Macaca mulatta: one gene and its partners. The protein of the gene in region 1 interacts with the protein of each later gene in a pairwise test. Links are inferred from orthologs where the notes say so. Each region holds a gene or a part of one and is shown in the gene's direction. Other genes may lie near its edges.

Evidence for each region. The genes of interacting proteins can lie anywhere in the genome.
Region 2: the proteins of FATE1 (region 1) and LNPEP interact in binary tests that used the Homo sapiens proteins (3 or more experiments, as listed by UniProt). The two-hybrid records come from large-scale screens. The link is inferred for Macaca mulatta from reciprocal best matches to the Homo sapiens genes FATE1 and LNPEP.
Region 3: the proteins of FATE1 (region 1) and TRAF3IP3 interact in binary tests that used the Homo sapiens proteins (3 or more experiments, as listed by UniProt). The two-hybrid records come from large-scale screens. The link is inferred for Macaca mulatta from reciprocal best matches to the Homo sapiens genes FATE1 and TRAF3IP3.

What each region holds. Positions count from the first base shown.
Region 1 is NC_133426.1:157,958,332-157,960,698, forward strand, and holds the end of FATE1 (fetal and adult testis-expressed transcript protein), read left to right. Parts: intron 1-211; coding exon 212-318; intron 319-726; coding exon 727-805; intron 806-1,449; coding exon 1,450-1,581; 3' UTR 1,582-1,838; downstream 1,839-2,367. UniProt on the Homo sapiens protein: Involved in the regulation of endoplasmic reticulum (ER)-mitochondria coupling. Negatively regulates the ER-mitochondria distance and Ca(2+) transfer from ER to mitochondria possibly implicating it in the regulation of apoptosis.
Region 2 is NC_133411.1:103,290,596-103,294,813, forward strand, and holds the start of LNPEP (leucyl-cystinyl aminopeptidase), read left to right. Parts: upstream 1-1,369; 5' UTR 1,370-2,448; coding exon 2,449-2,467; intron 2,468-4,218. UniProt on the Homo sapiens protein: Release of an N-terminal amino acid, cleaves before cysteine, leucine as well as other amino acids. Degrades peptide hormones such as oxytocin, vasopressin and angiotensin III, and plays a role in maintaining homeostasis during pregnancy.
Region 3 is NC_133406.1:67,512,605-67,516,911, forward strand, and holds the start of TRAF3IP3 (TRAF3-interacting JNK-activating modulator), read left to right. Parts: upstream 1-1,458; 5' UTR 1,459-1,563; intron 1,564-2,404; coding exon of another isoform or gene 2,405-2,462; coding exon 2,463-2,807; intron 2,808-4,307. UniProt on the Homo sapiens protein: Adapter protein that plays essential roles in both innate and adaptive immunity. Plays a crucial role in the regulation of thymocyte development.

The sequences.
Region 1 (2,367 bases):
GCTACCGAGGAGCATGGTGCGGGTGGGGTGGTGGCCAGCAGCCTGTGTGGAGTTCCCAAGCTTTCCTAGAGGCCTGAAGCTGCCAGCCCTTGATTCCAGAGACCAGGCACCATGTGACTCCCCATGGGGTGCACCATTGGTTCTGGGCAAACTGGGGAAGCCACTCACGTGGGGCTGGGCAGGCTACTTTACTGATCATTCCTTTCTTCAGGGGTCCCAGCTGCCAATGCCCAGAATGCTGAGAGAATCAGGCCATGGGGATGCCCATCTCCAGGAGTACCCTGGCAATTTCCAAGGCATGCGTTTCCATTATGATCGGTAAGAGCTGAGGGTCTGTGGGCCCTGGCTGCTCAGACAGGGCCCAGAGTGGGGCGGAGGGGCTGGTGAGCAGCTTGGCCAGGACGGAGTCATGAGGGCCTGGAATGCCTCCCTGTCAGAGACCATGAGCACCCTGGCTCCCTGCCCATTTGGGGCATCCCAGTGCTCTGTGGGCTAGCCGAGTTGGGCTGGGCCAGGCTGGGCCAGGCTGGCTCAGGCTAGCTCAGGCTGACTCCCAGTCCTCAAGGCCCTAGGCCCTCTTTACCATGGGAGAGGACTGGAGGCTCATAGTCACTGTCCAAGAAGTTCCTGACCTTACCTGCTTGACCTCATTGCCTTCTTGTGCTCACTGCCAGGTCCTGCCGGGGCCACCAGCAGCTTTGACCCTCTGTCTTTTTTCTCTCCCAGCAACCCAGGTACAGATGCAGTGGCACAGACTAGCCTGGAAGAGCTCAATGTACTGGAGATGGAAGTCATGAGAAGACAGGTGAGGAGGGACCCAATTGGTGGGTGCAAGCAGAATCACAATGCCTTGGAGTAGTCAGGGCTCAACATCTGGGGTCTTGTAGCCCCTTACAGTCATCTTTCCCTTTAGCGCTGGAGGTAGGGCAGATTCCCTTCCTTTTCCTCCTCATCCCCATGGCTCTGACCCAGGTAGATGTCCAATCTCAAACCTACTGCTGTCCCTGAGATGCTGGCAGGGAATAGGGGCCGATAAAAGGTAAAGGAAGAGGGAACATACAAGGATAAGTGTTCTATGTCCAGAGAGAGAGTGATACCCAACAGTCTGAGAGAGGGGTCGCCTTTGTTCAAATCAAACCCAGACCTTCTCAGGAGGAGACCCTTCCTCCCTTGGCCCCCCGGAGCAGCTGGAATGGGCTGGCCTCTTCCAGAGAATGGAAGTGAGCATCAAGGGAGAAGGCAGAAGTAGCGACTGCAGACGCAGCAGCCAAGTCTTTGGTCCAGCGGACCTGGCCCAGCCCCCTGCTTCTCACTAGGGGCACTCCCCGCTCCACCGCCAAAGGGCAATCAAGCCCCTTCTTGCTTTAACTTTATGCTTTTCCGATGGCTGAGCTGTGGGCTTCTGGAGAAGAGCCTGGCTCAGTAGTCCTCCCTTTGGCTCCTCTGCAGCTATATGCAGTCAACCGGCGTCTGCGCGCCCTGGAGGAGCAGGGCGCCACCTGGCGCCAGAGGGAGACCCTGATCATCGCCGTGCTGGTGTCAGCCAGCATAGCCAACCTGTGGCTGTGGATGAACCAGTGATCGCCCCCGCGCGGCCTCCGTATTGGAGCCCTCCCTGCTTCCCCTTCTTTCTTTCCTCTTTCCCTGGGCCGCCATTGCCCATCCCCCTTTTATCTCCCAGCAGCCCTCAGGCAGCGTCAGGGTCATTTTCAGCTCTGGTTAGGCCTCCTACCTGGGGAGGTCAGGTCACTGCATTGGGAGGTCCTGGCTGCTGCGAAGGTGGAGGAGGACTGCATGGGCTGAGATGCCATCCTTTGAAGGGTGAAGAGCATGGCGGCATCTGGACGCCACAGTAACACCTAGTGGCAACCTTGCCTTCCTGACCTCAGCGGCCCTTCTGTTCCATCCTCTGTGGGCAGGGGTGTGGCTTTGTTTTCCTCCCTCGTTTGCTTCCACCTCGTGCACAACGCTCTGCGCAAACATCATGCTCAATAAAAGTTCCGCCATAGCAGCAAAACTCTGTGGCTGAGGTTCCTGTGTCCAGCACTCATTTGGGGCAACAGTGGGGTTGGGGTGCACTGAGGAACAACAGCGCCTCTTCACAAAGACCTTGTGGCTGGGACTGAGCCTCTGCCATTGCCCCAGGTGCCCTGGTTTCCTCCTCCCTTTCACCTTCCCCGCCTCACTGTCCCCAGCCCCAGCTTTGCAAAGTTCTTCCTGTTGGGCTGATGCAAATGGGTGCTTGTGGGTGTGTGGTTCTGGGAGCATGTCTGGACTGTGTTGCAGGGATGCAATCAGAGGAAATCTCCTGAAAGGGACCAGAAACATTCTCATTTGCACAAGAGGAAATTGAATTCCAGAGGGAGG
Region 2 (4,218 bases), on another chromosome or scaffold:
TGACATGACCTAAAATATAGAGAAGAGCATCTTATTTAAGCAATACAATGTGTGAAGTATGTTAACAAAATCTAGCTCTGCATATACTGTATAATATCTGAACTGGGATACATCAGCCCCTGTGGTTCACTATTTTTGGTTCTGAAATGCCAGCACAAGGGGCCAGCCTAAGGGCTCTGATTACCTTTCACACATTAGGAAGACAGCAACTCTGACATATCATATGATACAGAAACCTTCTCTGTACTGATCAAACACATCATTCAGTATGGAGTCATTAACTGGAAGGGCTTGCAGCAGTGGAAGTGAACTCTAAACACCACTACGTCCTTCACTTATTCACGCAAAAATTATTTATTGTATACTTACCCACGCATTGGGGATACAGCTTTAAAAAGGATTACGACCCTGCCCTCACAAAGCTTGCATTCTTGAGAGGGAGACTGATAATAAACAACAAATCCACAACGTTGTTTCAGACAGTGATGAGGGCTGAGAAGGAAATAAAGCAAGGCCAAGTCTTTATAGAGTGTGGCTATTTTAGATGTATGGTCAGACAAGGGTTCTTTGCAGAGGTGACATCTGAGCTGAGACTTAAATGACAAGATGGAATCAGTAGGCAAAGTACTAAGCAAAAGAAACGGCTCTTGTGCGAAGAGCGAGCAAAAGGAATGATTAACAATGATGGATGGAACTTGGCGACTTCCAGGAACAGCATGAAGGCCTCTGTGACCAAAACATGGTGAGAATGTGCTGATGAGGTCCCAGAGTTAGGCAAGGAGTTTCATTTTTTTTTTTTCTAAGTGCAGTTGGTATGCACTGGAAGTTTCAAGTAGAGCGTGGATTGTGAGGGATGTAATAACAACAGACAGTTTAAAATACAATATTGTACTTCGATTTGACTTCTTCGAAACCTAGTTTCCAATTCCAGTGCTGGTCAAACAACACCCTGGCCGTCCCTGTTTGCGCAGGCTGTTTGCGCTCGCCGCGGCTTGTTTGTCCCTGGCGCCCCGCTGTTGACAGCCTCGGAGCGTGTGACAGTTGGCAGGCGCAGTGAGGCGCAGCCCGAGCCAAGTCAATGCAGGGGCCGGGGCTGAGGGAGGGGAAGAGGCAGAGGAAGCGGTGGTGGCGCGCTGGGAGGGCGGCGGCCTCTGCAGCGAGGGTGGTGGCGATGCGCAGACCGAGAGGGGGAAAAGGAAGCCTTCCCCGAAGAGCCTCCTGGGGGCTCACGGGGCCCCTGGCGGTTCGGCCCCGGAGGCTAGCGGGGCTGCCCGATTTGGCACTGGAAACAATGGTGGCTCGGGGCTGGAGGCAATTGCGCGAGAGCTGGGGGGCAGGGGCGACTAGGGGAGTTTCGGTTTCTCGGGCCTAGCGCCGCGGAGCCTTGCTGCGAGCCCCAGCGGTGGCACCCCCGGGAACCGCAGGTGTTGATTTAAGGCTTGGAACAGGCAGGCCTTCTGCCCACATCCTGCGGCGCCTGTGATCCGGCCCGGGCGATCCGGCGCCGGGTTTTGTTATCCGCCCGCACCTAGAGGCCGCGCCCGCAGCCGCCAGCCCCGGGACTGGACCCCAGGGCGCCCTCGGCCCTGGACCCCGGGGAGCCCTCGGCCCTGCGGGGTCCCTGCCCTCTCTTCCGTCTCCTCCTCACCGCCCTCCCGGGGCACTATGATGCGGGAGGGCATCCCTGCCGAAAAGACCTACAGCGCCCGTTCCCTCGGTCCTTCGAAAAGTGATCCCTCGGCGGCCAACCTCCCCAGGGAAACCGGCGATTCGCAGTTCGGATAGCGACCTTCGCCCGCAGGTTCCTGCTCTGCCTTCAGACCTCGGCTTCAGTGGCACCTGCTCAGCGAGGCCGTGTCCCACCAAGCCATCCGAATTAGCTACCCACTCACTCGCCATCACGTCACCCCGATTTAATGCGCAGCGGGGCACTGACTTTACACTCGTGTGTCTTCTGTGTTTATTTATGGTCTGTTTCTGGAATGTCCGCACCTGGGACTGGGACCATGTTTTCTGGCGCAGTGCGGGTGTCTCGGCGTCCAGAATCGGGCGGGTCGCAGTAGGGCTCCACAATTGTTGAGTGACTGAACACGGTTCCCGGCCAGGGAGAGCGCCGCAGCCAGGTCCACTTCAGGCAGTGACGGGGCGGGGCTTTCCCGGCCCCGCCCAGGCCCCGCCCCAGCGCGCACCCGCTCCCACCTCGCCTCTCCGCTGAGCCGCCGGGGGTTAGACTGTGCATTTCCCTCTTGCTTCCCTCGCTCTTTCTGCAGCCGCCACGAAAACCCGGAACGGCGGAGCCACCGAGCGGCGGAGCGGCGCCGCCCCTCGCGGCACCTCCCTGGCAGCCCCTGGAGGCCGCGCTGGGCATGCTCAGTCGGCTGGGCCGCCTCAGCTTTCGGAGTAGGAAGCTCGGGCGCTCGGGCTGTGAGGAGCCGCGGCGGGGGGAAAATGGAGCCCTTCACCAATGGTGAGTGGGCAGCCGAGGCGCCGGGACCCAGGCTCTCCGGAGCCCCGAGGGTCGTGGGCAGTCGTGATACGCGGGATCGGGCTGCTGCCGTCACCCCCCACACCGCGGGCTTCCCACGAGGGTTGGGGGAGGCAGGCAGAGGGATCTAGGGGAGGCAGGGAGGTTCGGGGGGCGGGCGGCGGCCAGTGCGGGACCCGGAGCTGGCGTGAAGGTCAGCGCCGCCGCCGCTCGCCCGGGGTGCGGCCGGTGGGCGAACCGCAAAGTTTGGGCTGCTGTGCGCAGAGGAGTGGGCAGTGGGAAAGTTGGCAGCTCAGGTTTGCCCCCGGAGGAGGCGGTGTCGGGCCGACTGTCCTGCAGGAGCTTTAAGCTGTGGCAGCCGCCGAGCCCAACTTTTGTGGGGCGCCAGGAGCTGTCCCCCTGCCCTTCAGTGAGCTGCCGGCGTGACTTTTCCTAATAGGGCGGGGTGGGGGTGGGAGGCTTGGCAGGTTAATGTTGTGGAAGGAAGGAAAACTTCAGGAAAGGCTTGCTCACCTCGCTCGGGGCCGCAGAGGTGCCTTCCCGCAGTGTCACCCTGCTGACCCTGCCGAGGTACTCCGCCGGGCCACCACGCTTCCCCTCACTGGCTGCAGATCATATCAGTTTTTCAGTCAAAGACTTGTTCATGTCAAGGGTCCGTCACGGTGATACCACTGTGTGACAGGAAGCGAGAGTCAACGTAGGGAGCCTGCACCCTGCAAACAGCCACAGACAGCCCTTCACTGAATGGGGGGCATAAATCCCACACTAGTTAGAACGATGGCTTTTGTGCGACCCAGAAGTGCCAGACCCACGATACAGGGGTGAGATGAGATGTCTTACCATTTTGCGGTGTTGAGTGTGTGGATTCCCTTTTAAGATAGAAAGTAGGAAAACTGCCAGTAAGGGAGACGACCCACTAAAATTAGAGGATTCACTCTCTGGTTGACATGTTTTCCTGAGTATGGTTGGTTACTTCAAGTAGAGTATCCCATTAATAGGGGCCTCAGTCTGTCCCTGTTTAGGTACGTTAGTTACCCAAATCCCAGCCAGACTTTGTTGTATGCTGTGCTTCATTCATGAGGCTGCGAACTACTGATTATATTCTCCCTTCTCTTAATATAGAATGCTTTATTCTACTGCCATCTTTCTGTCTGTACTGTTTAATTAGGCTTACTGATAACAACTTTAATTCTGAATTGTTTTTCTCATTCAGGTTCTGTTTGTAATTACTAAAACTTAAAGAATAGTCTGGTGAAGTTACTCGAAGAATTAAGGAAGGTTTGAGCTAAAAGGAACTAGAGAGACCATCTAGTACTTTAGTGTAAAATATGTTTAATATAAGTCGTTAAGTCCTTGTAAGTGACTATTTCAATGCTTATTCTTTGTTCTTGGTAGAATGCTTGGAGTTACCATGTTTTTAAATGTGAAATTTCATCTAAATTAAAAAAAAAAAATTCTCAGTGACAAGGCTGACTCACCCATTTGGTCAAGATTAGTGCTAGCTGATTTGATGAACCTTTGCCTACAGAATTAAAGTACTTTCTCAAGTTTTAAAATTGGCGTCTTTTCTCTCATAGAATATGCTTCTAGATGTGGGTATTTGCAAACTGTCACATTTGGGAGGACAATGGAAAAATCCCACAGAAGAGAACAAAAAAAGAAGCAATGCTTCAACTTTCATGTAGGAAATTGGATTTCTGATCCTTTCCTATCTTTCGGAGTTGATGCTGGAG
Region 3 (4,307 bases), on another chromosome or scaffold:
TTTATAAATGAAGAGACTGGGGCTTAGAGATGTTTAATAGCTTACCTAAAACCACACACAGGTAGTAGGTGACAGAGCCAGGATATGAGTCCACACAGTGTGACTCCAAGAGCCAGGGTTCTCCACTGCAATCCATGGCAGAATAGCCAGGGGCTGTGACTCAGGGATGCTGTGAGTGTAGGTTCCAGAGATGGAGTTCACATGCACATAATCCTGGGTCTCTTCCATTCAGTCATTTATAACAACAGACATGGGTCTGTCAGACCCTTTTTTTTTTTTTTTTTTTTTTGAGACGGAGTCTTGCTCTGTCACCCAGGCTGGAGTGCAGTGGCCGGATCTCAGCTCACTGCAAGCTCCTCCTCTCGGGTTCACGCCATTCTCCTGCCTCAGCCTCCCGACTAGCTGGGACTACAGGCACCCGCCACTTCGCCCGGCTAGTTTTTTTTCTGTATTTTTTAGTAGACATGGGGTTTCACCATGTTAGCCAGGATGGTCTCGATCTCCTGACCTCGTGATCCGCCCGTCTCGGCCTCCCAAAGTGCTGGGATTACAGGCTTGAGCCACCGCGCCTGGCCCAGACCCTTTTTTTTAAGTCTCTAAATAAAGAAAGTGGCAGGGAGAAAGTCAAGGGACCATCCCCTATGCCCACTCCCACCCTTATCCAAGAAGGAGTAAGTAGAAACACCTAAAGAAAGAAGAGAGCCATTCAGAATGGGTATGTAGGGGACAAACATTAACAACCTCACATTTCTGTTTGGAATCAATGCTGCCTGACACCAGAGTACGCTCCTCCAACCCTCAAGAGTCAGGCATTTGAGTGTTCAGGGCTTGACCACCCAAAACTCCTCTCAGGGAAGAAGACTGTACCACCCATGACCCTGGGGAATGAGTGGTAGGATCAGAGAGAAAACAAGAATCCTGCAGAGAATTCCAGACTGAGCCAGGATAGCGAAGTCCCAGTATAGGGGCAGAGACTCTGCTACCTGTTGAGTCTGTTTGGCCTATAAATAAACCCCGAGGGGTTACAGCTAGCAAACGCCTGCTGGTTGGTGAAGCTGAGATACCCTCCTCCCAGGGTGGTGGGTAATGAGGTCGTGGGAGGAAGAGAAGCAGCAGCAGCTGTGAGGGGGAGTCCCTCTTCCTTCATCAGTCCCTGGTCTGACTCCAGTGATCAGAGGAGGCAGGACACAGAATTTCCAACGCTCAGGATCCAGCTAATCCAAGTCCAGCCCAACTCAGCAAAGTGACCAGAGGGTTCTAGTAGGATAAACTGCAGAAGGTAGGTGGGGAAGAGTAGGAAAGAGAAAGGCACAGAGAAGGAAAAGGGGATTTGGGTCTGAGTGCTATGTGAATACCAGGTAAAGCCATGCAGAGGGACATCCTGTGGCCCCTACACCAAGCCTGGCTCCCTGGAAACTTCTGATTACTATTTTTGTTTTGTTTCTTTTCTGTTTGCAGCAGCCTTATTAAGGTCTAATTCATGTGCTTGTGGGTTTGGATGGCACAATCTGTGTCTTGGCAAAGGAAAGCAGACTTGGCACCAGAATTAGCCCTGACAAGAAGGTGATCCTAAAGAAATGGAACCCTCATCTCCAAGAGTATTGGAGCCAGATGCTCTGAAATGGGTTTAGGCCAGCACTAGGCATGTGGCAGATGCTCAGTCAATACTGATTGAACTTGATCTGCACCTGAGAGACACGGCCGAGTCCTGAGCTTGGAGTGGGGGGCCCATGGACCATTGTCAGCACAGCAGGTTGGAGGAATTAGGGTAGGGTTTCCTCCTAAACCATGCCAGGTCCAGACTCATAAGTTAGTTGCTAAAAGTCAAGAAGAGAGCAGCGGGTGCTGGTCACAGGACTGGTCACCACCTGAGTGGGGTGTGGTTAGCCCTCCAGATCTTGAGAAGTGTCACTCAACTATGTTAGTAACAGCTTGGACCAAGACAGCAGTAAAGATACTGACTTTCTTTTTCAGCTGGGGGATAAGAGGGCAGAGGGGCTCACTAGGCTGTTTCTCTAGAAGTCTGGAAAATGAACACACACCTGCCATCCAAGAGGCTATAAGCTCATTATTATTTTAATCAATTATTTATCATGTTCCCCTGACTTAGAGGCATGGTAAGATGTTCAGTCAAGGAGTAAGTGGCAGCCATAGAGACCGTTTTACTTTACAAAGGGGAAACATCAGCTAGAGAAGAGCAGGAAATCGCTGTTACAAGGTTGTATTCATTCATTAGAGACTGAGCCCAAGAGTCCTGACTCCCAGTTTGATACCACCATGTCCTCAGTTTTCAACCCACATGGATGGAACTCTGTGCTATTTCTGCCCCGTGGTCTAGGGAGATAGTCATTTTTCTGCCCATCTTCTGACCCCTCCCCTTCTCCTCCCTCTTGGCATTTGGCAGATCCAGGCATCTATTCCAGGAACGGGAAGCCAAGCGCAACAGGTGCTTGGAGGTCATCATGATCAGCCCAGACCCCAGGCCCTCCCCTGGCTTGGCCCGGTGGGCTGAGAGCTATGAGGCCAAGTGTGAGCGCAGGCAAGAGACCCGTGAAAGCCGCCGCTGCCGTCCCAATGTGACCACTTGCCGCCAGGTGGGGAAGACGCTGAGGATCCAGCAGAGAGAGCAGCTCCAGAGAGCTCGACTGCAGCAGTTCTTCAGGAGGAGGAACCTGGAGCTAGAGGAGAAAGGCAAGGCGCACCGTCCCCAGGCCAGGGAGCAAGGGCCCTCCAGGCGGCCAGGCCAGGTGACTGTCCTCAAGGAACCTTTGTCTTGTGCCAGCAGGATCTCTTCTCCCAGAGAGCAGGTGGGCCATGTCAAGGGACATACTGCTCTGTGCTCCGGGACCCTCTCTGGACAAGGAGGGTGGGTGGGCTCAAGGTCGCTAAAAGTGATCTAAATTAAGTCCTTCTTCCTCAGTCATATAGTAAAGTTGCTAAGAGCTTCTTATAGTAAAGTTGCCAACAGCTACTTATTCAGAGATTTTTGCTGTTGTGTTTTTGTTTGTTTAGCTCTTTTTGTTCTGCACTTGACTTGTAAGAGAGAGAAAAATAATTTTTAAAAACAATTCCAGGCTGGGCATGTTGGCTCATACCTGTAATCCCAGCACTTTGGAAGGCCAAGACAGGAGGATCACTTGAGGCCAGGAGTTCGAGACCAGTTTTTTGATAGAGACAAGTCCCTGTCTCTATCAAAAACTTTACAAACTAGCCAGGCATGGTGGTGCACACCTGTAGTCCTAACTAATCAGGAGGCAAAGATGGGAGGATTACTTGAACACAGGAGTTTAAAGCGGCAATAAGCTATGATCACACCATTGTACTCCAGCCTGGGCAACAAAGGGAGACCCTATCTCTAAAAAACTTAAAATAAAACAAATAAAAATAATTCCAAAGCTAACACCTATATCAGTTCAAACTTAGGCAATATACACATATCTTCTACAGCTATCTTATAGCATTCATTCATCCATCAGTCACCAAATATTTACTGAAAGTTTATTATATGCCAAGTACACAGGCCAATCCTTTTGACACACACACAGACATATCTGTCCTCTCTTCTTCTGCAAGGCTGTTGTGCCCACTCTTCTCTCTTTCTCTGGTGTTATTCCAATTCTATTAAATCACTCGGCTACAGCCTCATCTGGTCCAGGAAGCCTTCCCTGGCTTCTCCAGGCCACCTCTGCTGTCTACGGGCCTTGTGAGGTTAAAATCTTCCAAGATTGTGTAACCCTTAGAGGGCCCATTAGTCTGGCCTGGAAAGGAACAGTGTTGGCAAAAACCAGGGTATGCTGAGATGACGTTGGCCAGCAAACCATCTGTGTCTTCCTACTGAGGTTGTGAGCATGTTGACAGCAGGGATGTGTCCACTATGTTCCGTGGAAATGCTTGGCATTGTGTCCTACCCAGAGTGGGTACTCCATTAGGGCTTCTTAACTAGTGGATCTGTTATGCTCAATAGGAGATACTGCTCAGAGCAATGATCCCAGAGCCCAGTTGCAAAAGAAAACAAACTGTTTACTAAAGCAAAAAACCTCCCCACAACTCCCCACTTTACCTAGTCTTCACACAAAACCTCAATGATTTTCTAGCTGTTACTAAGAGAAAGGAAGTTTTCCTTCGAATATGGAAGGAATCTTATAGATTATTCCAAACTCCTCACTACACAGACAGAAGACTGAGACCTAGAAAAGATGGGATCTGAACCCAGATCCCCTTAGTGGCCACTCAGACCAGTTCTCTTTCCATATCACCATGCTGGCTATCTAAGTGGCCAAAACCAAACAAGGTAGAGAGAGAGAGGG